Rattus norvegicus: one gene and its partners. The protein of the gene in region 3 binds, or shares a complex with, the protein of the main gene of each other region. Links are inferred from orthologs where the notes say so. Each region holds a gene or a part of one and is shown on either strand. Other genes may lie near its edges.

Region 1 (3,803 bases), on a different chromosome or scaffold from region 3:
ACTGGGAAAGAAATGTGAGTGATTAAACTCAACTAATGATCTTATTTTGTTTACTCAAGCAAAGTGGAATAAATTCTATTTCAGATGTAACATACAATCACAGTATTCCTTCAAATGTAACTATTTCCTCTAATAGTTTCTTTAAAATGTCATTCTCTATATATTTGTGCTTCTTTCAGTTAGGCTAATATTTTGCCTAAAATTTATAATTAAAATTGTTATTATTCTTCAAGTATTGAGTTTTTCTGGGGGGGGGGGGTGGCTAGAGATATAGCTCAGTAGTTAATAGCTCTGGTTGCTCTTGCATAGGACCCAGGTTCGATTCCAGTACCCACATGGTGACTCAAAGCCATCTGTAACTCCAATCCCAGGGAAACCGAAGCCTTCTGGCCTCTGTTAGCATGAACATGGTACAGACACATATGCAGGCAAAGCCCACAGACATGTCAATACAAATACTTAAAAGATTATTGTCTACTTGAGCTACAGAAAAAGTATTACAAAGGCAAAAGTAAAATACAAAGTAATTAGTAGATTTGATACAATTAAAATGAGACAATTTTCTTTTAACTTTTGCTTCCCTGCTAATGAGCCCTGTTTCCTGTGTAGACTCACAGCAACCTGACATCTTGCCAAGCTCTCGGGAATATGTGCGTGATGAACATGAACTCTTACGACTCGACTACATTCGATGCTTGCCGACTGTTCCACTACGTCTTCGAAGGCGCTGCTGGGCTGACCGGCGTGCATTCTGTCCCGTTCTGGTGAGGGTACTGGGATTGATGAAATACTCCCAAGTGAATTCAGTGCTATTTCATGAATGCTAATAATATGAACTATTGCTTCCATTTATTAAGCCGAGTCTGATTGTTTGTAGGAGACAGAACCTTCCTTGGCTGTTTTACGGAGACCAGCCAGGATTGGCTTCTCAAGTTCTCAGTACTACCCCTCTTCCTACAAATTTCAGTTTTAAAGGACAAAACCAGGTACAAGTCCCTGTACAATGGGAGCAGTGACCACACATGATCTCCAAACTTTAAGATAGAAAACTAACTATGGCTAGAGGTAGGGCTCAGGAGTGGCACGCCTGCCCGACCTACATGCATAGACCTGGCTTCAATCCCTCAGTCCCCAGTGTCAGAAAAAAGACACAATCACTAGTTATACTTGTTTCCAAGATTTTTTACATAGTCAAACAATACAAACATATTGTTTAAGTATTTAAACATACTTAAACATACAAAGTTTACATACTCAGCTATGTAAATATCAGCTGCTCATAGAAATGAGTGCGGGGTTGGGCTGTCTCACTTTGCTGCATAGACATCTGGATTGTGTGGGCATGGTGGTCCTTGGAGGGTTGGGAAGAGGCATTTCATCACCTAATGCAAACACCTGTCTATCACATGTGCTTACAGAATGTCACAGACTGTCACAGCTCCTAGTTCTCACCTCTAACCGTTGAGCTTTCCAGAATAAGGTCCTATGTCTTTCCCCATACTCATCTCATGTAACAGATCTGAGAGGAAGGTACCTGCCACTGTGCTGCCCCTAAATCCTAAAATAACACTTCTGCAAAACACCAGTCCTGTTTAAAGTATATTGAACTATATAGATAGTAGGGTTAATTTCAAATAAATGAGGTGGGATTTAAAATTTCAACAAAAACAGTGCTAACATTGAAAAGGTAGTCAGTAATGAAAACTACCCTCATAGCGTATTTAACTTAATACTGCTGTTGTTCTCTAACCAAAACATAAAGCTGAAGTTTGTTGCTGCTTCCTACGATATACGAGGAAACTTCATCAGATGGCAAACTGTAAAAGGTGGTGTTCTACAGGTAAGTATGAGTCCAGCTAAGGTATTACTAATGTACTTTATTTTTGTCTGAAGCAAAGAGTAGAGGAACAGACAGACAGAGTATTGCTTGAAGAGAATCAGTGAAAGCATTCCTGATGCTTTAAATGAGAACTTTAAAGTTACAGTCAGTGTGTGTGTGTGTGTGTGTGTGTGTGTGTGTGTGCGCGCGCGCGTGCGCATGTGTGTGTGTTCATGCATACATGTTACATGTAGGAAGGACTGAGGACAATTTGTGTAAATCCGTTCTCTCCTTCTGGTCCCAGAGACTGAAGCGTGGTGGACCGTGCCCTTACCTCCTGAGCCATCTTGCCAATATTAAAATTGTTAATACATCCTTAGCTTTTTGTGGCCTTCATACATTAAAAAAGTAGAAGATAGGGCATCTGTTCACATGGGAGCCACAGAGCTCTTCCAGCAAAGGCGTTTGTGAGAGACACTTACCAGTTGTATTCTCTATCGAAGCTTTGTCCAGACACCGAGAGAAGACTAGATGCTGCATATTCTTTTGGAACAACGTACCAGCAAAACGTGAGTGTGACTCTGTTAGACAGCCTGTATTTCCCTTCATTCAAGTGACTGGAATGATAGGTGAATTTTTTTAACTCAAATTATTTTAATAGTAAGAACAATTTCATGAATTAATAAATCTTCTATGGTCTGGGCATAGAAAATGTTGAAGACGAAAGTTCCTTAGCATCTACAGAGTTAAATATTCTACAGTGTGTGACTTTCAAGGTCAGCTCCGCAACTGCACGCAGGTAGGCTTCTGTGTCCTCCACAGAACGCCCCTGCTGAGCGCTCCGGAACAAATGTAAAATACTACCTTGTGTTTAGAGGCTACTAAAGACGTAATTCTCTGCTCCGTTTACCGCCCAACAAAACAACAGTGCCTCCTTCTCTTTCTTTTACCACATCCCGGTTGTGTGTAATTTTAAGAACACACTACCACCTTTGCCTGTGAGCCGCTGCACTACCAGCTGCCCTCTCCATCCCCCCACCCCCACCCCCGGCTTAGCTCCAGGGTGGCCACTGCCAGCCCTGAGCCAGCCTCTCTCTCTACCCACCTCAGGTTCCGGAGTCTCGTCACCAGCTTCCACCCAAAACCCTTGAATCTGCAGACAAAAGACACGCAGACCGCTCTGTTGCTTTACAACCTGCCCACGAGGCACAATTGCTGGGCACAACTCTCTCCTGCCTGGAAATCCGTGCCCTTACCAATTTATTATCTCCGTCTCTCCTTCTGTCCTAGACTTAGTGGCTTGTTCCAAGTAGCCCTGCCAAGTGTCTTGGGCCACCCGCCCCTAGCTGAGGCTGCAGGCCCTGTCTCTCCCCGAGGCCTTACATGATTGCAGCATCCTCCTTCCCCCAAAGCATGACAGAAAAGCCCCTTCTCTCCTTCTCTGCACCTCCTTTTCCTCTTGCGACCCAGAAATCCCGCCTGTACCTTCCGCCCAGCAATTGGCTCCTGGCCTTCTTTATTGACAAATCAAGAACCAAATAAGGAAGGAGACCTTAGTATCAGAACCTCCCTTACACACACCAGTCTCCAGACTTCCCTTTCTCCTTCCTGTCATGACTTTCTTTCACTTTGACACTGCAGTATGGTACAAATGGTAACATTTGAAAGATCTCAGTAGCATATAAAAATGTTTCTTAACGTCTTGTATGTGCACACACACAGAACAAAACCCCAGTGAACAGTGCCTTCCTGAAAAAGTCATTGGAGGAAAATAAACATTTTTATTGATTAATATTGGACAGTTGTGCCAGAGATGATTTTTGTTTTATATCTTATATTTTCCTAATTTTCTACCGTGAACGTGAATTTTATGGTCAGAAGTGGCCTACAAGGTGTTTTGACATCTTTTTATAACAGTGTGGACTACAGGAAGGGAGGCTTTGCAGGTGTGAACTACAGGGTGATGTACCCAGCATTTTCTCAA
Region 2 (4,603 bases), on a different chromosome or scaffold from region 3:
TGTGGGGATGAAGGCAAGAGACGCTTTAGGTCATAAGGGTTAAGGCCTCATCAGAAAGGATCTCCTGGTAAGCATGAGGAGGGGCCAAGGTTGCTTTCCCCACACCGAGCCTAGAGTGCTTTCTAGAAGCTGGGCAAACAATCAGCAGCAAGGCACTTGTTGTCATAGAAATAAGGTCTGAGCAATCAGTCAGTCATATACACAATTACTAAAAGCACCTTAAAGTCATGGCTCTGACCAGTGTTAGGAGAAATTTCAGGAGCACAGGACAAAATTCCTAAATTCTATCAGTCAGTACATGCGAAATAAATATGATCGTCAGAGAATCAGATAGGAGCAATCAGGATGTTGTCAGGTCCTGATTACACGGAAATGCTAATCAGCAGATCATGCAAGCTCCAATCATCATTTTCTATCTGCCCTCCGAGAGGAGGAACAGGTAAGGATTAACCTCCTGACGATAAAGGACAAAGGGAGCCCATTCCTAATTAAGTAAAGACATTCCATATTAAAGAAAGGGTGAGAATATGACAATTTAGCACGAACCCAATGACTTATAGTTATTGCAACTCAAGAGCAATATCTATTTGCAAGTCGCCTGAAATATTTTATTTTTCCATTCGGCGCAGAAAGAGAGAAACAAAGTTCTCCCATAATGCTCCGCTCACATACAGCAAATTAGAAGCCCTATGTGAGGTTCTTATTTACATATTCCCGCCCACTCACTTCCGCCTATTTTGTACCGTAAAAATCCAAATAGAAGCATAAGCTACTAGCTCACGTACAGAAGGCTAGAAAAAAGCCTTTATTTACATCAGCCTTTTGATTTACCCAATGGTCTTCTGACAAATAGTCTAAGCCTTGCTCTTATTATAAAATGAATTTTATTACAAAACTCTAATAAAATTATAACCCAAGATTTGTGAGATCTTATCCCAACATTGCCATTTTCTGTTTAGACGCAGTTGGGAGGAGCAAAAGACTAGGGCGAGAGAAAACTGAAGCCTCTCCCTTTCTTCTTCCAGCAATGGGAGGGAGTTCATCACGTTTCCGGCTTTGGTCTCTTCATCGGATTGTGATCAGAAGGGTTTCTTTTTCAGCCCAAAGACAGCGATGAATAACGCAGTTTCAGTGACAGCTGGAAAAGCGCTGTGGAAGTAGGGGGTGGGTTTAGAGCCCCTTCCGACCCAAACACTCAAACCTCCAAGCCTTATATGTGAGTGGGTTAGCGGATGGGTACGACTCTTTAAAACTCTACCAATTTCACATGTGCAGGAAAGGTCTAGGTGGGGGAAACCTTCAGATTTGGGGTAGACTTTCCACCACCCTCCATTCCAAAATAACCTGCAGAAGGCAAAAATGTACCAGTACGTGGTACATTCCCATCGCTCGAATATGAAGAAAGATAGGGCCACAGACGCGCTACAGTGGGCTGCAATGGCTTAAAAATACAGCAGAGTCAAGGAAAATAATAGGTAAGTGATGGGTCCCTTTAGTACTCGGACTTGGGCTCAGCTTGTTCCCTTCCCTTAAGACAAACACCAGAGTTGGCAGCCATGCCTTCTGAATTTGTGGACACTTATGTGTAAGAGGCCAGAGCTGAGTTTGTTTTGATAGGACCTCTCCCTGTACACTTTTGGGAGTTAATGTCACATATGCCCTAGGCCTCACAAGAATACCTACAGGTCTGATACACTGTGGGAATTTCTCCAGTGCTCTGGTCCTCCTTGTCCACAACTCAGAGTCAACGGCTATCTTTTTTTTTTTTTTTTTTTTTTTAAAAAACAGGGTCTCTCTATGTAGCCCTGGCTGATTTGGAACTCACTATGTAGGCCAAGCTGGCTTCGAACTTAGAGATTCACCTGCTCCTGCCTCCCTAGTGCTAGGATTAAAGGTTTGCAACATCACACCCGGGTATCGAGAACCTTCCTATGTGTCTCATTTTCTTGGTCCCTTTTGAGTTCCCACAATGGTTTGTATTTTGCACACTCCTACAGAATACTGTTTAATCACACTGATTTACAGATGTTTATCCATCTCTTCCTCAAACAGGATAAAGTGGTTTTACTCCCACTCATGGATCGCCAGAACCTGGCTCACATCAGGGTTTAAGGTTTGAAGTCTATTAATTCCCCAAAACTGTCTAAAACCTCTCACCTAGAGAGATTCGCTTTGCCACGTAGGGCAGAGACTTGTGCCCAAAAGGCCTACAGAAGTGGAAAGAGTGAGTGGTGATGATGTCGCATGGGGACGCTGGCCAGGCAGAAAGGATACAGAGGAGGCTCTGGGTGCTATTAAACATGGAGACTCCTGAGAGGAAGCCAGCCAGCTCCACTGCAAAGAGGCCCAGGGTGAGGCAGAGCGCTGCTACCAGTCTGCAGAGAGAAAGGGTGATGGACCTGGGTTTCCGGATTGCGTAGAAGACCCTGGCACTCTCACCCCGCCCCAAGAGCTCACTGGTTGTCCTGCTTCTCATATTCCTCCGGGGTGAACTTGAGAGGCAGGCAAGCCTGGATGTTGCTTTCCTGGTGAGCCGGGCAGAAAGAAAGAAAGAAATGTCAAAAGAGGGATGGGGTTGCGGGGGACGGGAGCAACGGACCCAGTGTGGGTCTGTGGGAGTGGACTGAGCTGAGCTGGGTCCACTCTAAGGTGAGAATGGGAGGGACAAGAAGACACGCGCGCGCGCCCTGTCCACGTCTTACCCGGGACCAGAACAAAGTGATGACAATCACCAGATGAGCCAAGAGCGTCAGGAATCGAGAGGGCACGAGCCCGGAGATCCGACCCATGGCCTCGGGGGCCCAAAGCGGAGGCCGTAGAAGTCTGAGGAGGGTCACTCATCAAGTCTCCCAGAGCAAGCAGGCCAGACCTCTCTACTTAAGCCTCCTTCCCGCGTGCTCAGGCGCCGCCCGGTTGCCATGGTAACTGCGTCCTCAGGCGCCATGCAGCTGCCTCCGGAAGTCTCGCGATAGTGCTGCGCCCTCTGCAGATGTCTATAGGCCAGGTACCCGAGCCGATGCTCACCTCCTGGTGCTTGTGGGATGAATCCGGGAGGATGCACCCGTAACCACCAAATCCTCCCTTTTCCTGTGCTTCCCACTCACTGCCTTGGGCGCCAGGAGATGAGGGAACGAAGGAGTAGAGCTTCAGCACCGAGCTTTGCCCCACAGTCTCGCCAAGCCCTCCCCGCCCCCCCCCCACAGCCCCTGGTTGTCAGAGGGCTCCCTCTCCCACCCAAGACCAAACCTCTGCCGATGAACGACTCTAATTTCTCCCTAAATAACTTGTCTCGGTTTCATGAAAGATTTGCCGAGTGCAGAAATGAGCAACCTTGGAATGGGTAGAATAGGATGTGGGTGGATGAGGTGACAGCCTCCTCGGGATCCCAAGGGATCTGAAAAGGTGAAGAATGGAGTGGGGGACTAGAACAGCTTGTGCGCCCCTGGGAGGCTTAAACCAGGCTGATTCACCACCGATTTCACTCTCGCTTTGAGTTGCCAGGCCGCGGACATTGCTCAGTTACAGACCCAGAACCTCTTCTTAGGGTGATGTGACTGATTTGGGGCTTCGGATGAAATGCCTGCGATCGGAAAGTTCTCACTACCATCCCAGTTCACAATCAAGTCCCATTGACAATGAACCTCCTCCTTTTGCACCCCCTCTTCTCTCATTTCTCTGTGTGTGTGTGTGTGTGTGTGTGTGTGTGTGTGTGTGTGTGTGTGCCTCTAAACCAGCCTAAAAGACAAGACCCAGAGGGATTTCATTCATTCAACAAATATCTGATGTCTCCCAGATGCCAGGCACTGTGCTTGACTCAGAATACATCGATAAAGTCCCTCCAGTTTATATTCTAGGCAGAGAGACTGATAACAAAACAAACAAACAAAACAAAACAAACAAATACACACACACACACACACACACACACACACAAAACCCCAACAAAACCCTGCAAGGTAATGTATGCTGTAAATTTAAAAACTTTAAAGGGTGACACTAGAATAATATCAAAGGAAAGTTTTGAAATAGATAATTCCTAAATTTTCGTTTCAAGGAATTGGGGGGAGGGGGAGAGAGAGAGGAAATGTTTCTGTCTCCCTAAAGTAATACATGGGGTCCCCTTACCTAAACCAGTGAGTAAAAACATTTAGAATGCAGAGTCAACGTTTTTTACTTAAAGGTCATGAAAGACAGGCTGGAGTTCTTCCCACTGAGTGGGGGATAAACCTAACCTAACATGAGATCCCAAACCAGACAAAAGACACCCCCCACCCACACACACACTCACACTTTCATTATAAAAGACTGGTGGAATGTTTGACAAACAGTATAGTATTTGTAACTTAAATAACAACAACGTAGATTTTTTTAATTTTTTATTTATTATATATGAATACACTGTAGCTGTCCTCAGACACACCAGAAGAGGGCATCAGATCCCATTATAGATGGTTGTGAGCCACCATGTGGTTGCTGTGAACTCAGAACCTCTGGAAGAGCAGTCAGTGCTCTTAACTGCTGAGCCATCTCTCCACCCCCAATGTCCTGATTCTTTTCTTCAGTATTGGAGATAAGCTTTTGCATATAGGTAATAGGTAAGCAC
Region 3 (3,397 bases):
GGTAGCATGGCAGTGCTGCTTTGCTGGGAAGCTGCCCGGGTATTTCAGCAATGTCAGTCAGTTGTCAGTTTGCTGAGTCTGTGCCTGCCCAGCTTGAGAAGGGATGTCCCCAACTAAGACAGGACCCTCCAAGCCCTGTCTTCAGGGCCTCTATTCTAGGTAGAAGATGGACCCGTTTCTAGATGGGGCCAGCCCAGAGGCCGTGGAGACCCAGAAGTCATCTCTGGTTGGTCCCATGGCCTTATATGGCAGAGGGGTTAGAGCTCTGCTGTAAAGGCCAGGAGAAGCTAACTAGTCCCAAGGACAAAGGCAGAGGGTGGAGGCAGAGAGCCGGAGACGTGGGTATTAGACGACGTGGGTATTAGACGTCTGCGGGAGAGAACAGCAGGGGATGGGGAGGTAGGGACAGAATGTAGGGCCTTGGCTGCAAAGGTGCTAAGACTCTCTCCTGAAGGCTCTGGGGAGCCCAGGAAGAAATGGATGGGTCAGATTTTCCCCTTGGACAGCATACTAGTTTCTGTGTGAGCACTGAGTCCTTGTTGCCTCAGTTCTGGCCTTTGGTAGCTTCCTCCCTGCTTGCTTGCTTCTTAGTCTCTCTCACTTAGCTGTTCACCAGCAAACCCTAGGGGCTCTGAAACCCACTTCTGCTTCTCACCCCATTCCTTCTGCTTCTCACCCCAGCCACCCCACTGAGCCCTCTCTGCCCTTCTTCTCTCTTTTTTTTTTTTTTTTTTGTTTTTTGTTTTTTGGGTTTTTTTTTTTTTTTGGAGTTGGGGACCAAACCCAGGGCCTTGTGCTTGCTAGGCAAGCGCTCTACCACTGAGCTAAATCCTGCCCTTCTTCTCTTACCTGGACCATTCTTCCTTCCCGTCTTCACTGTGCTCCCAGACCCAGGCATCAGGGTCTGGGACTGCACCGGACCCTGGGAGGACACAAATACGACCATGTTCTTCCTCTGCACAGAACCTTCCTGCAGATCTCCTGTCTCTCAGAGCAAACGCTGGAGTCTTCTCTAGCATCACATGGCCCCATGTAATCTGGAGGTCACCTCTGTCCTTTGTCCCCCATGACTCCCTGTTTTAGTCCCGTTGGGCCCACCAGGCCAGCTCCTACTTCAGAACTGTTGCACTGACGATCTCGTCCCCCTAGGTGCCTAGCTAGCCCACTCCTTTAAGCATTTCTATACCGGTTGCATCCTGGTTGCTTTGTTTGCTTTTGAGAACATAGTGCAGGCCAGCCTGGAACCTCAGCAGCCCAAGTGTGCACCCTTCCAGGTGAGGTCTTCCTGTATAGCCTAGAACTCATGTGTAGCCCAGGCTAGCCTTGAACTTGCAGGGATCCTCTTGCCTCTACCTCCCAAGAGCTGACAGTCCAGCTGTACACTGCAGTGCTCAGCCCAAATGTCCCCATCTTTAGTAAAGCTTCCTTTAGCTGCTCCCCACTTTTCCAAGCTACATCTCCACCCCTCCCTTTCTGGCTGTTGTTTTTCCCCAGAGCGGTTATCACCATCTGACATACCCTATAATTTACTTATTTACTATGTTGGTTGTCTAGGATGTCAGCTTCACAGGGCAGGAATTTTTGTCTGCTGTGTTCATTGCTGTGTCCCCAGCCTGGAGAACAGGGCCTGCCAGGGAGGAGCTCAGGGTAGCGGGGGACCTGGGCTGCACGTCCAAGCATTGGACTGTCAGGCTGGGACATTCAGCTGTGCTCTGAGGCCACTAGGAACCTAAAGAATGGGAGAGATGGTTGCACTGGGGAAGAAAGGAAACTTGAGTCAGGTGGGCGAGAGCAGAGCAGGTCCATAAGGAGAGAGGGCAGAAGGGGTCTTAGCTGAGGTCCTGACCTGGGGGCTTTGGAGAGAGAGACCATGAAGGGAGGTGAGATGAGGCCAGCCCTGATGAGTTTTCACACTCGAGAGCTTGGACTTTGTACTGTGGCACAGGGGAGCCATGGATGGGTTTTGAGCAAGAGGGTAATGTGGATTTCTATAGATCCCTGTGACTACTATGTGGAGTGGATGGGAGATGAGAACACAGAGAGGAAATTAAGGCAATAATCCAACGTAAAAGGGCTGTACCTTAGTCTCTACTGGTTTCAAGGAGATGGGAACCCAGGGGCAGGTCTGCCTCCTTTGTCCTTTTTTCTGACCCCTCTTGTCCTGCAGGTTGGCCTCGACTTCATCTCCAGGTGTGGTCCCAGGACAGCTTTGGCCGCTGCCAGCTTGCTGGCTATGGCTTTTGCCATGTGCCTAGCAGCCCAGGCACTCACCAGCTGGACTGCCCTACATGGAGGCCCCTGGGTAGTTGGAGGGAGCAGCTAGCACGGGCTTTCGTGGGTGGCGGGCCACAGCTGCTGCACGCAGACACCATCTACAGCGGGGCCGACCGCTACCGCCTGCACACGGCCGCGGGTGGCACAGTGCACCTTGGTATCGGTCTGCTGCTGCGCCACTTTGATCGCTACGGTGTGGAGTGTTGAGGGACTTCACTGCCACCAGTCACCATCATCCACAGCCCTGCGCACACGACGGCACAGCAGTGAAACAGGCACATAGACTCTGGAGACTGTCAGTCCTGATCTCACCCAAGTCATGGCCCTTATGCCATGGACTGCAAGGCCAGGAACTACCCCTGTGGCCCATGCTCCACTGAATTACCGGGTAAAAGTCTGTGAGTTGGAGGGACTTGAGGAGAGCATGCTGTTTGGCACTGTCAGGGGCACTTAATAAAAGCATGCATTTCTCATAGGTAAGGTGTCCCCTCGTACCCGCTGCAGTTCTCAGATGTCCGTCTTCTTATTTAATCCTCCTTGACACTTTCATCAGCAAACCCAAAGTCTGCCCCTACCTTTCGCTCTATGCCTCCTAGGCCCTCTAATATAGGACCCTGTTTTCTCACGAAGTCGCAATTTTCCCTTTGACCCTTCAACAACTCCCAAACCCACGGGGGGCGCTTCTGTTGGTCACCAGCTCTAGTAGTGTTCCGCCGCCAGGAGGCAGCACCCTGGAGGTGGGGCGGGGCCGGGGTGCCCGCCCCCTCCCCGCAGGGCTGAAGAGACCCCCCTCGGAGCCCGCCCACGCTAGATGAAGACAGTGGCCCCCCCATGCCCTCCCCCTGGGGCTGCCCCCGCCCCGCGTGCGCTTCCTGGGTGGGGCCGGGGCGGCTTCAAAACCCCCGCCGCCCCAGCCGGTCCCGCCGCCGCCGCCCTTCGCGCCCCAGGCCGTCCCCCTCCTCCTCCCGCCGCGGATCCTCCAGACAGCTAGGCCCCCGGCCGGGGCAGGGGGGACGCCCCTTCGGGGCACCCCCGGCTCTGAGCCGCCCGCGGAACCGGCCTCCGCTGGGAGCCGGCAAGGGAGCAGCGGAGGAGCCGTCCGAGGCCCCAGAGTCTGAGACCA
Region 4 (3,803 bases), on a different chromosome or scaffold from region 3:
AGTGGTAATGCAGCCATGCATTAATTTACAATTAATTTTAAAAACACTATAAAGATCAAAAATGCCTTCCTCATATCTCACGTGGATATTATTCCATAACACCTTAGATAGGCAAAGAGATGTCATTTTTATTGGTCAAATGTTTTGGATCTTAGAAAACAAAAACTAAAACAGGTTAGGTCAGTCTCTGGGGTCCTTTCTGTGTTTCCCGCCACCAATTTCTAGACCCGCAAACAAAGGTAGAACTACTCACCACCACCACCACCACCACCATCACCACCCTCCCCACACTCCTTCTCTAGAAAATTAACCTGTAATGTTTTCTGCTCCATGAGCAAGATTTTCATGTTAAAAAAAAAAAAAAGCCAGACAGATGGCATAAACAACTAAAGAAGAAAAGCTGGCTGCCTGTGAGTTCTAGTGACCGCCCTGTAATACAGTAATACTGTAATACTGAAATACTGTGCAGTTACTCGGAGGGTCTTAGGAATAGGAAAGCGTCCCCTAGAGAAGTGTCAGGGTGGAGAGCATGCAGAGTGTGGCCAAGCTTGTTCTTCCAGTGTAAGGCCTTCTGCAGATTTGGGGACAGGGCTGGAGGTGGGGCATGCTGATTCCCTCTAGACCTGATACCTTCCCATTTCCCTCTGCTGTAGATTGCCCCGGGTGCCCTCCGGCTCTTTGTGAATGGAGAGGTAGGTAAGTGTCTTATCTTGGAGCCAGGCTAGGTAGAGAGTCTGTTGGAGCTGAGAGTAGCTACTCACCTTGGCTCAGTTTGGGCTGGACATGGTCTTTGGGAAGCTGAGTGATGAGTCTTCTGGAAACTGAGGCTCCTGGGCCCCGAGAAGGCTTTCTTTGCAGGGCATTTGGGCCCTTCAAGACTAGACTGAGTAGCTGAGTGGTGGTGATACCCAACTTTAATCCCAGCACTGGGGAGGCAGAGGCAGGGGGATCTCTGTGAGTTTGAGGCTAACCTGGTCTACAGAGTGAGTTCAAGGACTACACAGAGAAAAACTGTCTCAAAAAAAGGAAGAAACAAAGGAAGGAAGGAAGGAAAGGAAGGAAGACAGACTAGACTGCGTGGTAAGGGTAGTAAGAGAGCAAGCTAAACTTACATTCTGCTTTCTCTCTCAGTCTCAGCCCGAGGCTATGAGCATGACAACCTCTATGTCCACTTCTTTGTGGAGCTGCCAGCTACGAGTAAGTGCTTTTCAGACATTTCTGTTCTGACATTCTGTCCACTCCCACTGAAACCAGTCAAGGTCACAGGTCACCTCCACATTTCAATTCTAAAGGTGCCCCCGTCCTTCCACTACATTGGCCTGTCTGAAGCACCTGACATAGCTCACTTTTCTTTATGAAGCATTCCTCTCGGCTTCTGGCACCATAGTCCTGCCTTCTCACTGAGGGCTCTCCAGGCTGGGTGAATTTCTTCCTCTCCTGCTGGCCCTAAACTGAGCACCTCTGAGGTTAAACCTGACCTGTGTTACTTTCTACCTCTCTAGGGGACGACTGCACCCATTCCATAGCTTAATTACACCTATGTCTCTTGCCCTGTTCATAGGCACAGTAGGTTATTAGCTCCAGGAGAGACAATCTGGCTGTAAAAGCCTCCAAACATATCAGCCTACAGCAGACTCAACAAATGACATTGTGTGGACCAGTGGGTGGGCAAATGAATGTGTGAAGGAACCCTGCCATGGCTTTGTTTGCTCACATGGCCTCCCACCCTCTCTCATGAGCTTACTGTGTCTGCTCCTTGGCTTCCAGACTGGTCCAGCCCATCATTCCAGCAGCTCTCGGGAGTAACCCAGACCTGTGTCACCAGATCCCTGGGAATGGTATGGAGGGTGAGAGGGTGTCTGCCAGGGGATAGCAGCTCCGGGTGGCATTTGAAGCTTCATCAGGCCAAACCCTGTGTTCTCTGTGGAGGAGCCATAGTTGGGGCTGCTTCTGTGTGGGCTCCGTGGGGCTGCTTGGGCCAGAGTTGCTCTTTGATCTCTTAGAGAATGGCAGCAGCTCACATTCAGCTGTGCCTTTGCCTGTGGCTTCCTACCAGTCGGACAGTTTTCCTTTCCCCTGTGTGAAGGTGACCTTGTCACTGGGCACAGAGAACCCCTTCCAATGAGGCTTTGTCCTCCCTGTGACTGAGTTGAACATGACACCCCACTCCTCTTTTCCAGGACAAGGTGGCCTATTTCTCCTTTCCATTCACGTTTGAAGCCTTCTTCCTCCATGAGGATGAATCAGATGGTGAGTAACTGACCCTCAGCCTCACTAATCCACAGCCAGGGTCCTCTCTTAACAAAGGTCCCTGTGCCACCTCATTCACATTCCAGAATCACTCCCAGAGTGGCCCGTGCTCTACTGTAAGGTCCTCTCACTGGACTTCTGGCAGAGGTATCGTGTGGAAGGCTACGGGGCTGTGGTGCTGCCTGTCACCCCAGGTAACCTCTTGTCCCTGCCCTTCCCGATGCCCTCTCTCCTATCGACAAGACCAGCACTTCCCAAAAACTCTGATGCTCCTGATAAGGAGAGAGGATTAGGAACTGGGAGCTCTAACTGGAAAAATCCCTTGCTGCTTTGTGGAATTTCTCCCTTCCCATAAGAGACACTGTGAAACCGGAACTGACCTGGTCCAGCAGCCTGATGGGCTGTCACATACCGCAGTCCTCCAGTTAGACCTTGAGAGAGAAGCTGCACCAACCATAGAAGTTTCTGTGTGCCAGGGACTGTAGTAAACCCCCTCTAATTCTCCCAGCCCCTCTGTGAGGCGTAGTGTCCTGATTGCTTCTACATTTTACTAAGGTCAAAAGAGAAGCAGGTTCTCAGAGGTTGACAAGCTTGTCTAGAGCACAGCGATGCCTGGAATAGCTCAGATTCTGTCTTCCTGTCTTCCAGTCAGGCACTGTCACCCACCACGCTAACCTTTGCCAGGTCATCACCAACCCAGGTCATTGCTGGGAAGTCAGGGATGGAACTCGGCCCCTTCCCCCTCTTCCTTGCACAGGATCACACACCTTGACTGCCTCCACGTGGAGGCCCATGGAGCTGGGCCTCGTGGCAGAGCTAAGGAGGTTCTTCATTGGTGGCTCCCTGGAGCTGGAGGACCCATCCTATGTGAGGATACCAGGAACCTTCAAGGTGACTCATCTCTGGGGAGACTTCAGGCTGAGAACTTACATTCCTGTTTGTGGCCCTCCTCTCATTGTTGAGCGTGCTCATGGTACTCATGGTATATAGCCCCTGCTTATGGCCTATGCTGCCAGGCCTGCCCATATTTTAGAGGTACAAATATCTATACAAGGGGTCCTTGGGGAGCTGTGTAATTAGAGATCTCTTCTTTCTACCACTGAAGGCCTTGGTAATCGGATGCAGAATGAACTTGCCAGAAGCACTCTTGCTTCTTGCTCATTCTTAAATGAGGGTGGAGCCTGGCGCCCCTTGTGATGCTGCTGTCTGAATAACGGAGTAAAGTTACTCAGTGATGCTGTACTACCTGAGAATAGGAATCCAGATGGCAGCAGCGCCCTGGTCTAGTCCTCACAAACCATTCTGTCTCCGCTGTCTGCCCAGGGGGAGCGGCTGAGCCGCTTTGGATTCCGCACTGAGACGACGGGTACGGTCACCTTCCGGCTGCACTGCCTGCAGCAGTCCCGGTGAGTGACACTGAGCCCCTTGGGAGCCTTGAGCCCTTTGTCACTGAGTGCTGGAGAACAGCCTTAACTGTGTTTTTGGCTTCTCTGCAGGGCTTTCATGGAATCGAACTCCCTCCGGAAACAAATGAGGAGTGTGTTGGACCGTCT
Region 5 (3,803 bases), about 73 Mb from region 3:
GGTGACATTCTATTTCAGCCCAGTTATTATTACAGATTCTTTTTTTTTTTTTTTTTGGTTCTTTTTTTCGGAGCTGGGGACCGAACCCAGGGCCTTGCGCTTCCTAGGTAAGCGCTCTACCACTGAGCTAAATCCCCAGCCCCACAGATTCTTTTTAAAAACAAATTTATTTTTATTCTTATGGGCACGGGTGTTTTGCCTGTATGTATGTATGTACGTATGTATGTGTGTACATATGTACGTATGTACGTATGTATGTAAGTACGTATGTACGTGTGTACGTATGTACGTATGTATGTATGTATGTACAGCCTGAGCTGCAGTTGCTGAGCCAGGTTCCTGACGTCACTGTTTGCACCCCTGACACGCATGATTTTAAAGTTTCCATTGCATAAATCCAAGCGTCTGTTTCAAACGATCCCTAGCTGGCAGGGTGTACGGCGTGTAGCTGTCACCTTAGGTTCTCAGACGCTAAGAGCCTGAGGCCAGCCTAGGAGACAGGAGCTGCCCTTCCCTAACAAACAGCCCTCACAGCTACACAGCAAAAACAACCAAAGCCCAGAGAAAAGCCTGAAATGTTTTCTAGCATGATTGTATACAAAACCATTCTCAGGATTATTTAATTATTCATCTAGGTTTTCTATACAAGTAGATTAACTTATTTTTAATTGAAAACGTTATAGAAACAGTCTAATTCTATCAAGCACAGTTAGGGTCACAACACTGAACATTTTGTTTCAACAAATGTCTGCCTACAGAGAAACGAAGGCGCCCACAGGCTTCCCTCCGTTTCTTACGCCTGCCCACCAACTCCATGCCCAAGGCCTATCTCAGAGGTAAGCGCAGCCCACTACCTGGTTTATAGCATAAATCCGCGTGCTTCTCAGGCCTCCTCCCACACCTGGACAGGCTTTCAAGGGGCTCTCGGCTCTCTGCAGATATTCCTATCTTCTCTCTGTAGAAAGATCTCCACGCTGTGTTTTCTACTCGATACCATACAGTCTGTCTCCCTGTTCACAGCCCAGAGTTTTGGACAGAAAGACTATTCTGGTGGTCTTTTCCTTTCAGGTTGATGACAGTCCAACTTACACTACTGCCTGTCCACCAGCACTCCCTGCAAGGCCACAATGGCTTCTTGGCTGCCATTCCCTGGCCAGGCCGGTGCTCTCTGGCATATGTAGACCAGGCTGTCTGGCATGTGTTCTTGGTGATGGAATAACTTCCTCCTCTTTTCTCTCACTGCTACCTTTCTGCTGATTTTCTCTTACCTCTATCAGGGTGACTTTGCGGACCGTTGGCTCACTTTTCTTCATCTCCATATCCGATTTGTGTCCTCGCTCCTCGAAGTTTTGATCTCTGCCCTTTTCAGAACTACAGGAAGGAAAGAGGCTGAGTGAGAAGCCCGTAAGGCAGCGGCTGGAGTGGATGAGATAAGGCGTGGATGTAGGGAAGGGACGGGATGGACACAGATGACAGGGGGGAGGGGCTGAGGGAACCACTGGGCAGAGCTACACACGGGATGACCCAGAGCAGTGGGGACAGCTGCTCCATCCTAGCCACAGAGAAGGGACAGGAGCTAGACAAATTCTGCCTGTTTGTTTCTGAAAAACATTTAGCTGCATGGGGAAAACCAGAAAGTTTTATCAACACAGATGGCGAACATGCTGTTATAGGATTCTCCTTAGTGGTGGAATGAAGAGGTTCCTAGGTGAGCTCACACAGCAACTGCAGAAGGCAATGAAAAGCAATGGAAACAGCAAGACATACACCATGGTTTGTTGTAGCACATTACATGTAAGGAAAAAGAATACAGAAACATGAAAAGAGAGAAACCCAGGAACTAAGAGACCAGTCTTTTCTCTAGAGAACGTGTGAAAGGTGGGGATTTCCTGAACAGAAGGTAAAAAGATGGAGAAATTTAAAACTCAGGCCTTCAGGAGGGATGATAAAGACCACTGTGTGCGCAAAACTGCATAGCACACTCATGTCGAGCCCTGGCTCTCCCGTGAGCGGATGGACAGGGACTTTTAGGGAGGGTGGACAAGTTCATACAGTTTTCTCCGGACAGAACCATACCAGTGTTTTAGGAGGAAAAGACACTAGAATCTCCTTGCCTGGGAGCACATGCATGCACACTCCCCACGTGTGTGCCCACAGAGGACACATGAAGCCATAGCGAGAAGGCAGTCATGTGAAAGTCAGGAAGATAGGCAATATTTTGAAGGCACAGTGTATCTGTGAAGCTTAGTAATGACAGGTTTGGAGAGATAGCTCAGCATGTGACAGCCTGAGTCTGATTCCCCAAATCTACATGGTGGAAGGCAAGAATTGACCCCTTCAAGCTGTCCTCAGAGCTCCACATGTACACCCTGGCACACAGGCACTGCCAAGTAAAGGAATATATGTAGAAAAAGAAATAGGTAAAATATTATTTATATGGACATTTCTTTTACTAAAGAAATAATAAGAATATATATGGATACGTAAGTTAAGGATATGCAAATTCCAAGCAGGTGAGACACATCTTGAATTCCAATGACTGAAACCACAGTCTGAGTCTATCAGGTACTGGTGAGGAAGCACAACTACCTTGCACACAGGTAAACCAATAAACAACGTAGGAAAACAGTCCCAGCCATTCCGGTCCTAATTGTTTACCCAAGAGAAGCGAAGGCAAATGTGTACACGGTGACTTGTACACAAATACTGATATTTGCAGTGGCTCCAAACTAGAGACTTCAAAGAACTTTTAACACGTAATAAACAGGTAAGTTGTGAAACTTGAAACTCTAGAAGGAGAGAGGAAAGCTCACTGGTTGTCAGGGGACAGTAGTTACAGAAAGGAAGAAATAGAAGGAAGATACTTTAAAAAAAAAAAGAGAAATTCTTTAATTGTGGTAATGGCTCATGGAGTCTACCTTTCTTAAAATCTGAAATGTGTAAGATGCTATTTAGTGTACATTATTTCACTAAAAGTGTTCAAAATGCCCATGTATATATATGGAATCAGGCTGAGCAAGTCGCGGGGAGCAAGGCAGTAAGCAGCACCCCTCCATGGCCTCTACAGGAGCTCCTGCTCCAGGCTCCTGCCCTGTTTGAGCTCCAGTCTTCATCCTCCAGTGGTGAGCTGTGACTTGTAAGTGTAAGCCAAACCAACCCTTTCCTCCCCAGTAGCTCTGTTCGTGGTGTCATCACAGCATTAGTCACCCCAATAGGGCAGGAGCATCACTGACCTGGTGCTTACCAGTTAGGCTACTGGCTGGCCAGTAACCCCTTGAGGATTCTCCCTCTCCATGTCACTGGGGTTGGACTACAGCCATGTGCTATCGTGTCTAGCATTTCCCCTGGGTTCGGGGCTCAAGCTCATGCTTCTGAGATAAGCACTTGCTCCCTGAGGTATCGCAGCCCCAGTCTGACCTTTTCTCACTAACCTCGCTGCTACATAATTTCCTTAGGAATGGCCAATTCTACTTTGAATAACTTTAATATTATCTTACCAAGTCTCTCTGGTTCATCCTTACCTACTAATGTGCATTCTTCTGTCAGATGTCAGACTGATGCTGAATGCTTGAGTTACTCCCTCTGTTTGACCAGCTCCTTTCACTTACTGTGAGCCTATAACCCTGGTCTCTTCATTCTCTCTAGACGGCTTTGTCCATTGCAGAAACCCCAACAGTTTCCTCACGACTGCACTGGAAAGCAGGTATGCTCTTGCGCACGCCCCTGTCTCAAGGCCTTTGCACTTGTCTCTCTCGCACACCACTCAATTCCCTTTTGCCTTCTACTCGTCTGCAAGACTATCT
Region 6 (4,289 bases), on a different chromosome or scaffold from region 3:
ACCATATGTATGCAGTGCCCACAGAAGTTGTTGGATCCCTTGTGACTGGAGTTACAATTGGCTATGAGTCACCATGTGGGTGCTGAAAGTCAAACCTAGATCCTCTGGAAAACGGGCCATTCTCTCCAGCTTACTTACATGTTATAACATTTATTTAGTATTTATGTAATATTCAGATAAGCACCATGACAGGCCTGTACAGGTCAGAGGACGGCCTTTCCAGAATTAAGAGATATAATTGGTGGGCGCCGGAGAGAAGACCCAGGGGTTAAGAGCTCTGACTGTTCTTGCTGAGGACCTGGAGAAAGAATCAACGGCCAGCACAGTCTCCATGGTAAGACCCTACTTCAAAACAGATAAAATCTGTCTTTCACGTTAAGATATTCCTGTTAGTAGTTACCTAAGTGATTCGCTAATGCTAACTTTGAGGAAGACAATATCAGCGTTTATACCTAAGTACACCAGAAGGAGCCGTGTAGTAAATTACCCTCAAACCTTTGAAGAACCAAGGGATTTGTTTCTCGTTTTCTATCTTTTCTGCTACGGGGCAAAGTGAAAGCACTAACTTTGAAGGCAAAAGTACCTGGTTCTAGGACTGTGGCCCTTTTATAAGAGTGGGGGGGGGCGTTGGGGGGGTTGGGGATTTAGCTCAGCGGTAGAGCGCTTGCCTAGCAAGCGCAAGGCCCTGGGTTCGGTCCCCAGCTCCAAAAAAAAAAGAAAGAAAAAAAAAAAGAGTGGCCGGACTTCAGTATGAACCATACTGGAGTTTTTCCATTGAGATACAGTCCCGCATATCTCCGGCTGGTCTCTAACTCAGTGTCGCTAAAGATGACTTTGGACTTCCGGTCCTCCTACCTCCATCTCAAGAGTTGCTAGTATTACAGATGCGGGTCACCATGCCGGGTTTAATGAAGTGCTGGGTATGAACTCAGGGCTTCCTGCATGGTAAGCTAGCTAGCCTTTTACCAACTAAGCTATATCAACCATCCTATGTTGTGAGTTAATAGATGACCTATGGGGAGATGTCAACATCTATGCACATCTGATTTTGTACAACTGACACAGACTTTGGTGAGTGGAAATGTTGTTTCTGTTGCTTTCTTGAAGGGACCCACGGGAACCGAATCAAAATGCATGTACTAACTAACACAGAAACCTCCTCCCGCTAGCTCCACCCCTTACTAAAGGCCTGCGTGCCTGCTATTGGTTCCTCTGCCCGCCGTCGGTTGCCGTGGAGACTCCGCGCTGCGGCCCTGGGCTCATGGCGCTGTACCATCTCTTCTCTCACCCGATCGAGCGCGCCTACCGCGCGGGGCTCTGCTCCAAGGCCGCTCTCTTCCTGCTGCTGGCCACCGCGCTCACCTACATCCCCCCGTTGCTGGTGGCCTTCCGGAGCCACGGTAAGCCTGCCTGGGTCTGGAGGGCCACTCGGTTCGGCGCGGCCCGCGGGCCCAGGCCGGCTATCCTGACCCGGCTCCCCCAACACGCCTTGTCTCCCGCAGGGTTTTGGCTGAAGCGCAGCAACTACGAGGAGCAGCCGAACGTGCGCTTCCAGCACCAAGTGCTGCTGGTGGCTCTACTGGGGCCCGAGCCGGGAGCCTTCCTCGCCTGGAGCACGTACCCCACTTTCAACCGGCTGCAGGGGGTTCACCTGCGCGTTCCGCTCGTGTCGGTGCGTGGTTCCCGCCCGGACCCTGGGGGGAAAGCATGGGGTGAGATCCCAGTTGGGTCATTTGACGGGCTGTGGGGGCAGTCTCATGTATCCCAGGCTGGCCTTAAACTATATAGCCGAAGTCGTTCTTCAACAACTGATCCTCCGGCCTCCACCTTCCCAGGGCCAGGAATTTCTGCTATGCAACGCCGTGCTGGGGGTTGTGGGGTGCTGGGAATCAAACCCAGGGCTTTTTGCTTGCATGCGAGCACTTTACCACTGAGCCAATGCTCAGTCCCACAGCTTGGATCTCAAGGATCCACCGGGGTTGGAAACAAAGTCTCTTTGGCCCGCGCATGCTTAACTTTTTAGATAGTTTTACTCAGCTTCTTGAGGTGTCCCCAGACAATCAACCATGCAGGCGGTATGTTTGGTGGATTTGAGTCCAGAAGCCAGAGCACTGCCTGTCTCTGGTGCTGGTCACTTCTGAATGAAAAAGTGGCTGTGAAAACCCTTTTAAGGGCTTGAAGGCCGGGTTCTGTAGACGCCAGGATGTCGCTGAATTTGAACATCACCAGGCTGTAAAGACAGAAAGTGCCCGCATTTTTTATGCAGACTGGACGTAGGGTAGGGAAAGCGCTGATTGGTTGAATTCTCGACTCCGGCTCTGGCCAAGCCACGCCTGTCTGGGTTAGGCTCCTAACTGGGTTCCACACTGCAGCTGTCTCCTATGAAACTGGAACATTTTACTGTCTGCAGTTTAGTGTTTGCTTTCGCATAAATCAAATGCTTCCTTACATTTCCTTTAGTCGTATGGGACATCTGGCTTTCCTACATTCAAATGTGGATCCATTCGGACAGGTCTGATTATTAGCCTAGAAGGCAAACTCCTGTAGCTGAAGGGGCGGGTGCGTGGCAGGGGTGTCAGACTTTCTCCCCACAACAGGTAAATAAGATAGCAATATGCAAAATCTAATTCAGATTACTTGGTTCTCATATATATATATATATATATATATATATATATATATATATATATGTATAATTATTTTTTTCCTTATCACAAACCTGTTGACAGAAAAGTGAAGGCTCACTGTGGTTGGTATATGTATCAGTACTTGTTAACCAACCGAGTTTGTTAGTTTTAAGATCTGTAGCTTATTCAATGACATGAGCAGAGTGATGAATTTAAATTGCCCCTCCCCTACGTACACAGCAAGCTCAAGGCTATTCTGTGTCAAAAGCCGGAGCCCTGGCTCCTGAAGTCAGAGGCACAACATGGAAGGGGTCGGTTCCCTCCTGTCACTCTCCCAGGGATCCAGCTCAGATTCCCAGGGTTGGCTGCAAGGGTCTTTACCTGCTGAGTTATCTCATTACCCACCCTTACTCCTTGATGTGTTTTTTTAAAATTTTGCCCCAATTATTTTTATTATTAAAATTATTGTATGAATTAAAGCTTTTAACTAAATCTTACGGCTTTTTTATTCTTTTGTTTGTTTTTTTCTTTTTTTTTTTTTTGTTTGTTTTTTCTTTTTTTCGGAGCTGGGGACCGAACTCAGGGCCTTGCACATGCTAGGCAAGCGCTCTACCACTGAGCTAAATCCCCAACCCCGGCTTTTTTATTCTTTTTGAGATGGCTTATTGCCTTGCTTGTTGCCTGCCCAAGCTGGCTTTGGCTGAAGCAGTAAGTCCCGTTCAGCCCCCTAAGAAGCTGGGACAACAGACGAGTACCACATGCCCAGACTTATGTCATACACCTCTGAATGCCAGCGGAAGCTTTTTGTTGAAATTTCATGCACATAGAGAAAACAAAGCAAGCAAAGAAAACAATTATTTCCTGCAGGGAAATAAACCTCGCGAAGAAGCAAGGAAGGAGATGCAGTCAGGGTTGCGAACAGGACTTGCATAGTCATCGTCTTAGACAGAATGCTGACTAAGCAAAATGTGCATCTAGGGAAACTGAAGGGATCAGGGGAGCGGGGAGATGCCATGGGGTCTGGTGGGAAGGGGAGGAAAACGAAGGCTCCGGCCTTCCCCTGTGGAATGTCGGTAGAGAATACTCAGAAACAGAAGTAGACTCTCAGCAAATCTTATTAAAAACATCGGGAAACAGAAGTAGACTCGCAGCAAATCTTATTAAAAACATCGGGAGAGTGCTTCTTTGTTTTCGTTTTTCCGAACAGGGTTTCTCTTTGTATCCGTGGTTGTCCAGGAACTTGCTCTGTAGACCAGGTTGGCCGCGAACTCAGCAATGCCCCTGCCTCAGTCTCCCCGGTGCTGGGATTAAAGGCATGTGCCACCATCACCCAGCCTGGGGAGCAGTTCTAACACAGTCATTAGGTAACTGGGGCATAAGTGTTTGCTTTGGATGTTAATTGTTTTTTTTTGTTTTGTTTTGTTTTTTTGTTTTTTGTTTTTTTTTTGTTTTTTTTTTGTTTTTTTTTTTTTTTTTTTTGTAGCATCACTGAACTCTTTAAATCTTCAAATGATTAAGGCTCTTCCCCCACACCACCAACACATACCCCTTAGTTTTTTGAGAATGCAAGGCATGTGGTCCAGGATGGCTTGAAACTGGATATGTAGCCTAGGTTGACCTTAATGACTTAGTATTTCTGGTCTTTCAGCCTGTGCCTGAACA
Region 7 (4,507 bases), about 130 Mb from region 3:
AGTAGCCAGTGCTCTTAACCACTGAGCCATCTCTCTAGCAGGGAATATTATTTAAAATTTAAGTCCCACTGAACTAAAACTTTGAGGTTTCAGGGCATTACATGATTAAAGTCATTTACTCCAGAGGCCCTGCTTTCATTCTGACTCTATCCAGGAACAATGGGATTCTGTATCAAGAAAAAAATGTTTGAGGCAGAGACAGTTAAAATCTCTTGAGTTTGAGGCCAGCCTAGTCTATATTGAGAGTTCCAAGACAGCCAAGGCTACACAAAGAGGCCCTGTTTCAAAAAAGAAAAAAGACAAAAAAAGCAACATATGAGCCAGGCATAGAAGTACACATTTATAATCCCAGCATGCACGAGGCTAAGGTCAGAATTGAGAATTCAAGTTCATCCTGGTCTCCTTGCTTCAAAACACCAAAACCAAACTGCGTATCTGTGTGTATACACATGTATGTTTATATCCACATGTATACACATAATTTATAAACAAAGTAAAATATGTATAGCTATAATATACATGTGTGTATGTAAATGTATATGTACGTTAAAACTTCAATTCATATGGAAAATAATTTAAGTGCATTAAAAATGTCTGTTCTTTAGGGCTACAGAGAAGGAGCACTGGGTGGTCAAGAGCACTTGCTGATTTCCTGAGGACCAGGTTTACTCAATGGCAGCTCAGCACTCTGTAACTTCAGTTCCAGAGGATCTGACGCCTCTCTCTCTCTCTCTCTCTCTCTCTCTCTCTCTCTCTCTCTCTCTATCTCTCTCTCTCTCTCTCTCTCTCTCTCTAAATAACTTTTAATTCTTACTTGTGCTTGTATGTGCCCACAAAGCCCAGAAGACAACATTGGATCCTCTGGAATTGGAATTAGACAGTTGTAAGTTATCTAATGTGAATGCTGGGAACTAAACTGGGGTCCTCCTGCAAAAGCAGGAGGTTTAAAAGTCCTTTTAAACCTCTGAGCCATCTCTAGCCCAAGACCTTCTTCTGACCTCTGTGGGTACCAGACATACACGTACTATACAGGCATACATACAGGCAAAGTATCCATAGACATAAAACAATGTTTTAATTAAAAAATATGTATTCTAAAAGCCAAATATGGATTCTGTACTGTATAAATCTTTCTTACTATTGCCAATATATAAAAGAAAAAAATGTTACCATGTTTTTCTTTGCTTTTTTTTCCCTTGTTTTTGTTGCTTTTCTTTACTAAGTTTGATCACATTGGCAGGTTTTTTTGTTTGTTTGTTTGTTTGTTTGTTTGTTTGTTTTGAGCTAGGATCTCCTTATACATCCCTGTCTGGTCTGGAACTCACTATGTCTAGGAACACATAGCCATCCTCTTGCCTCTGTCAGTGGGTACTGGGATTAAAGGCATGTGCCACCATGCTCACCTTAGCAAGGTTTTTGGTCTTCTATATGTGAACTGACTCTTAGTGTCCCTTACCATTTTTCTCCCTTGGGTTTGTATCTTAACACTGGGATGATATGTTCTAAGTAATCAGCAGTTTTGCTCTGTGTCTCTGGTGTTTAAAAGCTTCTAGAGGAATCCTTGTTTAGAGAAGTGGAGGGAACCTTAGAGTTCTTTAGGAATGTACTGCTTTACTCTCTCAAACAAAGCAAGGAGAAGAAGCAGGCACTCTTGTAGTAGTCAGGCAACTGGAAAGGAATGAGCTAAGATCAAATGCTACTGCCAGTTCTAGCCTCACTTAGAAACACACAGGTAAATCTTGACCTAAAATACAAAGCAGCAGCTTGAAGCCTTAGGGAGGAAGCAATCAATGGTATACATTACACAGACCCAATCTCTGATAGTGAGCCTAGGTTATCAAGTTTCAGGCTCCAGCATGTCTCATAAGCAATGGAAATATTTTCTGAACAACACTCACCAAAAAACAATCGTATTACTTCAATGCCAAGATAAAGGAGCAGCATCACCACATCTAGGACTAGGTTGGCTGTTGGGTATGGCAGCAGGAGACCTACAAGTGTAAAAGCCAGAGTATGTAAACAGCCCCCACATCCCCACAAGGCTGCCACACATCCAGGGACAAGGATACTAGTCTTAACTTCTCATGAATCAGTTAGCAAGGTATAGATTGTTACAGCCACAGGCTTTAAGTCTAGAAGTCCTGACTCCCAAATGACTGAATTATAACGGTACACAGATCTGAATATTTCAGTAAAGAGGGATGGGGAAGCCCACATTTCTCAAGTTCAAGACTTGCTGAAAGACTTCCTACTTGATCATTCCAAAGCCACTAGTTGGAGAGACTTCTGCCTTGCAGTGGAGATGCTGCAGGGGCCAGAAGATAGAAGGTTCTTGGAGTAGGCTAAAGTAGAAAAGGGCTGCTGAAGCAGGCCAGTTAGGCCCAGCCTTACCTTTGTACAGGAAAATAAGGAGCTCCAGCAGGAAATAGGTAGCATAGTACCACCCATTCAGAAAGAACAGGATTTCCAGAGGGGTTGAGGACAATCTTTTATCTGGGAAAAAAAAAAAAAAAAAAAAAAAGCAACACAAAGAATGGACAGGGCAGCTGGAGCTCTGCCCCGTTCTGTGTAATGATTCTGTGTAATCTGTAGAAAACACAAGGTTATTGTGAATGAGGGAGAAACTTCTGGTTGCTAAGAGTGTTGATGTGAAGGGAACTGCCTTCAACCTCCTTTCCCAGGAATCACTTTAAGGTCGACTTCTCTGACAATTAAGCTATAATCACAGCCGAGAGGCACCTCAGATATTCAACCCTGTCACTACTGAAGAGGACATTGGAGCACAGAAATTTGCTTAATTCTGTCCAAGGCCGGAGGATTCGTAACTGGGCCATCCCAGAGCAGGGCCAGCCTGGAATTTTTAAGAGTACAGTATCCGAGTATCCATGCAGCCACTCGGGGTGGTCTGAGCAACCCAAGCCCAATTCGGACAAGTGAAGAGTAAGACCCCAACTTTTAGAAATGGAGGATTAGGTAGAGCTCTGGAGAGGGGCCTGGCAGGTACCAGTGGGATATAAGGGGCAGAGACACACACCTCCAGAGTCTCACCTCGCGGCGCCATGTTCAGTCCCCATGGAAACTGCGTACGCTGCAGCGCCCGGGGCAATGCAGCGCTGCCGGAAGCGCGGCACAGAGGCGCCCGGGTTTTCTGGCCGCTCTGCCTGCGAGTGCTACTCTATGGTTACCCCACCGGCCGCGCCCTTGCACGGAGCAACGCCCGCGGTCAACAGCGGACTGTGGTCTAGGGAGAGGATAAGGTTATATACGAAGGCAGAAAGAGCCCAGGAGACCCAAACAGCTCTCGAACTGAACTCTCCACCCCTGGCGTCATGGTGTTGGGCTTCATTGGCCGGGTGCGGCCGAATACTTGGAGGAGCGGCCCCAGGCCCACCATTCTCTTTCTACTGCCATGTGTTAGTTTAGAAAAAAAAAAAAAAGCAGCACGGCATGCCACTGTGCACAAGGCTTACCTAGGGCCCATTGACGCAACAAAATCCTGTGGAAACACCAAAACCACTGGAGGTAGAATGACCTTTCTAGGACATGTGGTAAACAGCGGTGCTATAACGTGGCTCTCCTGCCACCCAAAAAGTGCAAAGGTGTTGAAGGGAGACAGTTTATGCCCAGGTAGAAATTGAGAGATGTTTCCAACAAGCTTGAGTTAAGAATCCTGGCCGCAATTCGAAGCAAGAGCGTGTTGTTGCAGGCCGCAGAGTAAAAGAGTAAGACTTCTGAAAAGACATGGGTTGACTCTGCAGTCAGCCCTTAGAGTATGGCAGTCAGACAACAAATAACTGGAGAGAGTAACTAACCTGTAATGAAAGTGTTATTTCCCTACCTAGTGAATAAAAGCAGTAATTGTTGCTTCTCAAAGACCTAAAGCAGCTGGAGAGATGGCTCAGCGGTTAAGAGCACTGCCTGCTCTTCCAGAGGTCCTGAATTCAATTCCCAACAACCACATGGTGGCTCCCAACCATCTGTAATGGGATCTGATGCCCTCTTCTGGTGTGTCTGAAGACAGCTACAGTGTACTCAAATTTAAAAAAAAAAAAAAAAAAAAGACCTAAAGCAATTCCTCACCTGGAGAGAATAATTTAAGCAGAAGCCTATTTCTATCACTCCCCACCTCCACCTCTGCTTTCCTGCCTCCTTCACTGGCTTATTCTGGTCTGGTTTAGTTTGACTAGACAGATCTCCCTATGTAGGCTAGGCAGGCCTCAAATTCTCCTGCCTCTGCTTCCCGTCCAGTCCTGGAGTTTCAAGTGGGTGTCACAACGCTCTGGCAGGTCCTAAATGGAATTTTAATCCCCACTATCAAGAACCAGGGCAAGATGAGGTGATGGAAAGAACCCTGGTTCCTGCACCCCAACTGTGCTACCTTTACACACCTCCTGCTCTGAACCTCAGAGCAAAGGAAGGTGGACCAGTTGCTTGTTTTTTTTAAATTATGGGTCTTAAATCACCCTGCCTACACATATTGTGTACACAGATAGCTCTCATGCTACAG

The links.
Region 1: B9d2 (region 3) and Tmem67 share a complex: the UniProt entries of both Homo sapiens proteins name them as parts of the tectonic-like complex. The link is inferred for Rattus norvegicus from reciprocal best matches to the Homo sapiens genes B9D2 and TMEM67.
Region 2: B9d2 (region 3) and Tmem107 share a complex: the UniProt entries of both Homo sapiens proteins name them as parts of the tectonic-like complex. The link is inferred for Rattus norvegicus from reciprocal best matches to the Homo sapiens genes B9D2 and TMEM107.
Region 4: B9d2 (region 3) and Mks1 share a complex: the UniProt entries of both Homo sapiens proteins name them as parts of the tectonic-like complex. The link is inferred for Rattus norvegicus from reciprocal best matches to the Homo sapiens genes B9D2 and MKS1.
Region 5: B9d2 (region 3) and Ahi1 share a complex: the UniProt entries of both Homo sapiens proteins name them as parts of the tectonic-like complex. The link is inferred for Rattus norvegicus from reciprocal best matches to the Homo sapiens genes B9D2 and AHI1.
Region 6: B9d2 (region 3) and Tmem231 share a complex: the UniProt entries of both Homo sapiens proteins name them as parts of the tectonic-like complex. The link is inferred for Rattus norvegicus from reciprocal best matches to the Homo sapiens genes B9D2 and TMEM231.
Region 7: B9d2 (region 3) and Tmem216 share a complex: the UniProt entries of both Homo sapiens proteins name them as parts of the tectonic-like complex. The link is inferred for Rattus norvegicus from reciprocal best matches to the Homo sapiens genes B9D2 and TMEM216.

Annotation. Positions count from the first base shown.
Region 1 is NC_086023.1:30,365,894-30,369,696, reverse strand, and holds part of Tmem67 (meckelin precursor), read left to right. Parts: intron 1-609; coding exon 610-764; intron 765-877; coding exon 878-986; intron 987-1,762; coding exon 1,763-1,840; intron 1,841-2,322; coding exon 2,323-2,388; intron 2,389-3,803. UniProt on the Homo sapiens protein: Required for ciliary structure and function. Part of the tectonic-like complex which is required for tissue-specific ciliogenesis and may regulate ciliary membrane composition.
Region 2 is NC_086028.1:54,269,513-54,274,115, reverse strand, and holds Tmem107 (transmembrane protein 107), read right to left. Parts: upstream 2,921-4,603; 5' UTR 2,790-2,920; coding exon 2,703-2,789; intron 2,526-2,702; coding exon 2,458-2,525; intron 2,400-2,457; coding exon of another isoform or gene 2,376-2,399; coding exon 2,275-2,375; coding exon of another isoform or gene 2,158-2,274; intron 1,442-2,157; coding exon 1,345-1,441; coding exon of another isoform or gene 1,150-1,344; coding exon 1,080-1,149; 3' UTR 596-1,079; downstream 1-595. UniProt on the Homo sapiens protein: Plays a role in cilia formation and embryonic patterning. Requires for normal Sonic hedgehog (Shh) signaling in the neural tube and acts in combination with GLI2 and GLI3 to pattern ventral and intermediate neuronal cell types.
Region 3 is NC_086019.1:90,320,391-90,323,787, forward strand, and holds the end of B9d2 (B9 domain-containing protein 2), read left to right. Parts: exon of another isoform or gene 1-1,729; intron 1,730-2,080; exon of another isoform or gene 2,081-2,167; coding exon 2,168-2,481; 3' UTR 2,482-2,753; downstream 2,754-3,397. UniProt on the Homo sapiens protein: Component of the tectonic-like complex, a complex localized at the transition zone of primary cilia and acting as a barrier that prevents diffusion of transmembrane proteins between the cilia and plasma membranes.
Region 4 is NC_086028.1:73,159,081-73,162,883, forward strand, and holds part of Mks1 (tectonic-like complex member MKS1), read left to right. Parts: intron 1-653; coding exon 654-696; intron 697-1,131; coding exon 1,132-1,197; intron 1,198-1,767; coding exon 1,768-1,847; intron 1,848-2,180; coding exon 2,181-2,250; intron 2,251-2,336; coding exon 2,337-2,444; intron 2,445-3,007; coding exon 3,008-3,141; intron 3,142-3,573; coding exon 3,574-3,656; intron 3,657-3,746; coding exon 3,747-3,803. UniProt on the Homo sapiens protein: Component of the tectonic-like complex, a complex localized at the transition zone of primary cilia and acting as a barrier that prevents diffusion of transmembrane proteins between the cilia and plasma membranes.
Region 5 is NC_086019.1:17,703,752-17,707,554, reverse strand, and holds part of Ahi1 (jouberin), read right to left. Parts: intron 1,372-3,803; coding exon 1,269-1,371; coding exon of another isoform or gene 1,086-1,268; exon of another isoform or gene 1-1,085. UniProt on the Homo sapiens protein: Involved in vesicle trafficking and required for ciliogenesis, formation of primary non-motile cilium, and recruitment of RAB8A to the basal body of primary cilium.
Region 6 is NC_086037.1:56,810,477-56,814,765, reverse strand, and holds the start of Tmem231 (transmembrane protein 231), read left to right. Parts: upstream 1-1,250; 5' UTR 1,251-1,261; coding exon 1,262-1,400; intron 1,401-1,502; coding exon 1,503-1,672; intron 1,673-4,289. UniProt on the Homo sapiens protein: Transmembrane component of the tectonic-like complex, a complex localized at the transition zone of primary cilia and acting as a barrier that prevents diffusion of transmembrane proteins between the cilia and plasma membranes.
Region 7 is NC_086019.1:216,623,443-216,627,949, forward strand, and holds the start of Tmem216 (transmembrane protein 216), read right to left. Parts: upstream 3,078-4,507; 5' UTR 3,062-3,077; coding exon 3,049-3,061; exon of another isoform or gene 3,035-3,048; intron 2,494-3,034; coding exon 2,392-2,493; intron 1,992-2,391; coding exon 1,899-1,991; intron 1-1,898. UniProt on the Homo sapiens protein: Part of the tectonic-like complex which is required for tissue-specific ciliogenesis and may regulate ciliary membrane composition.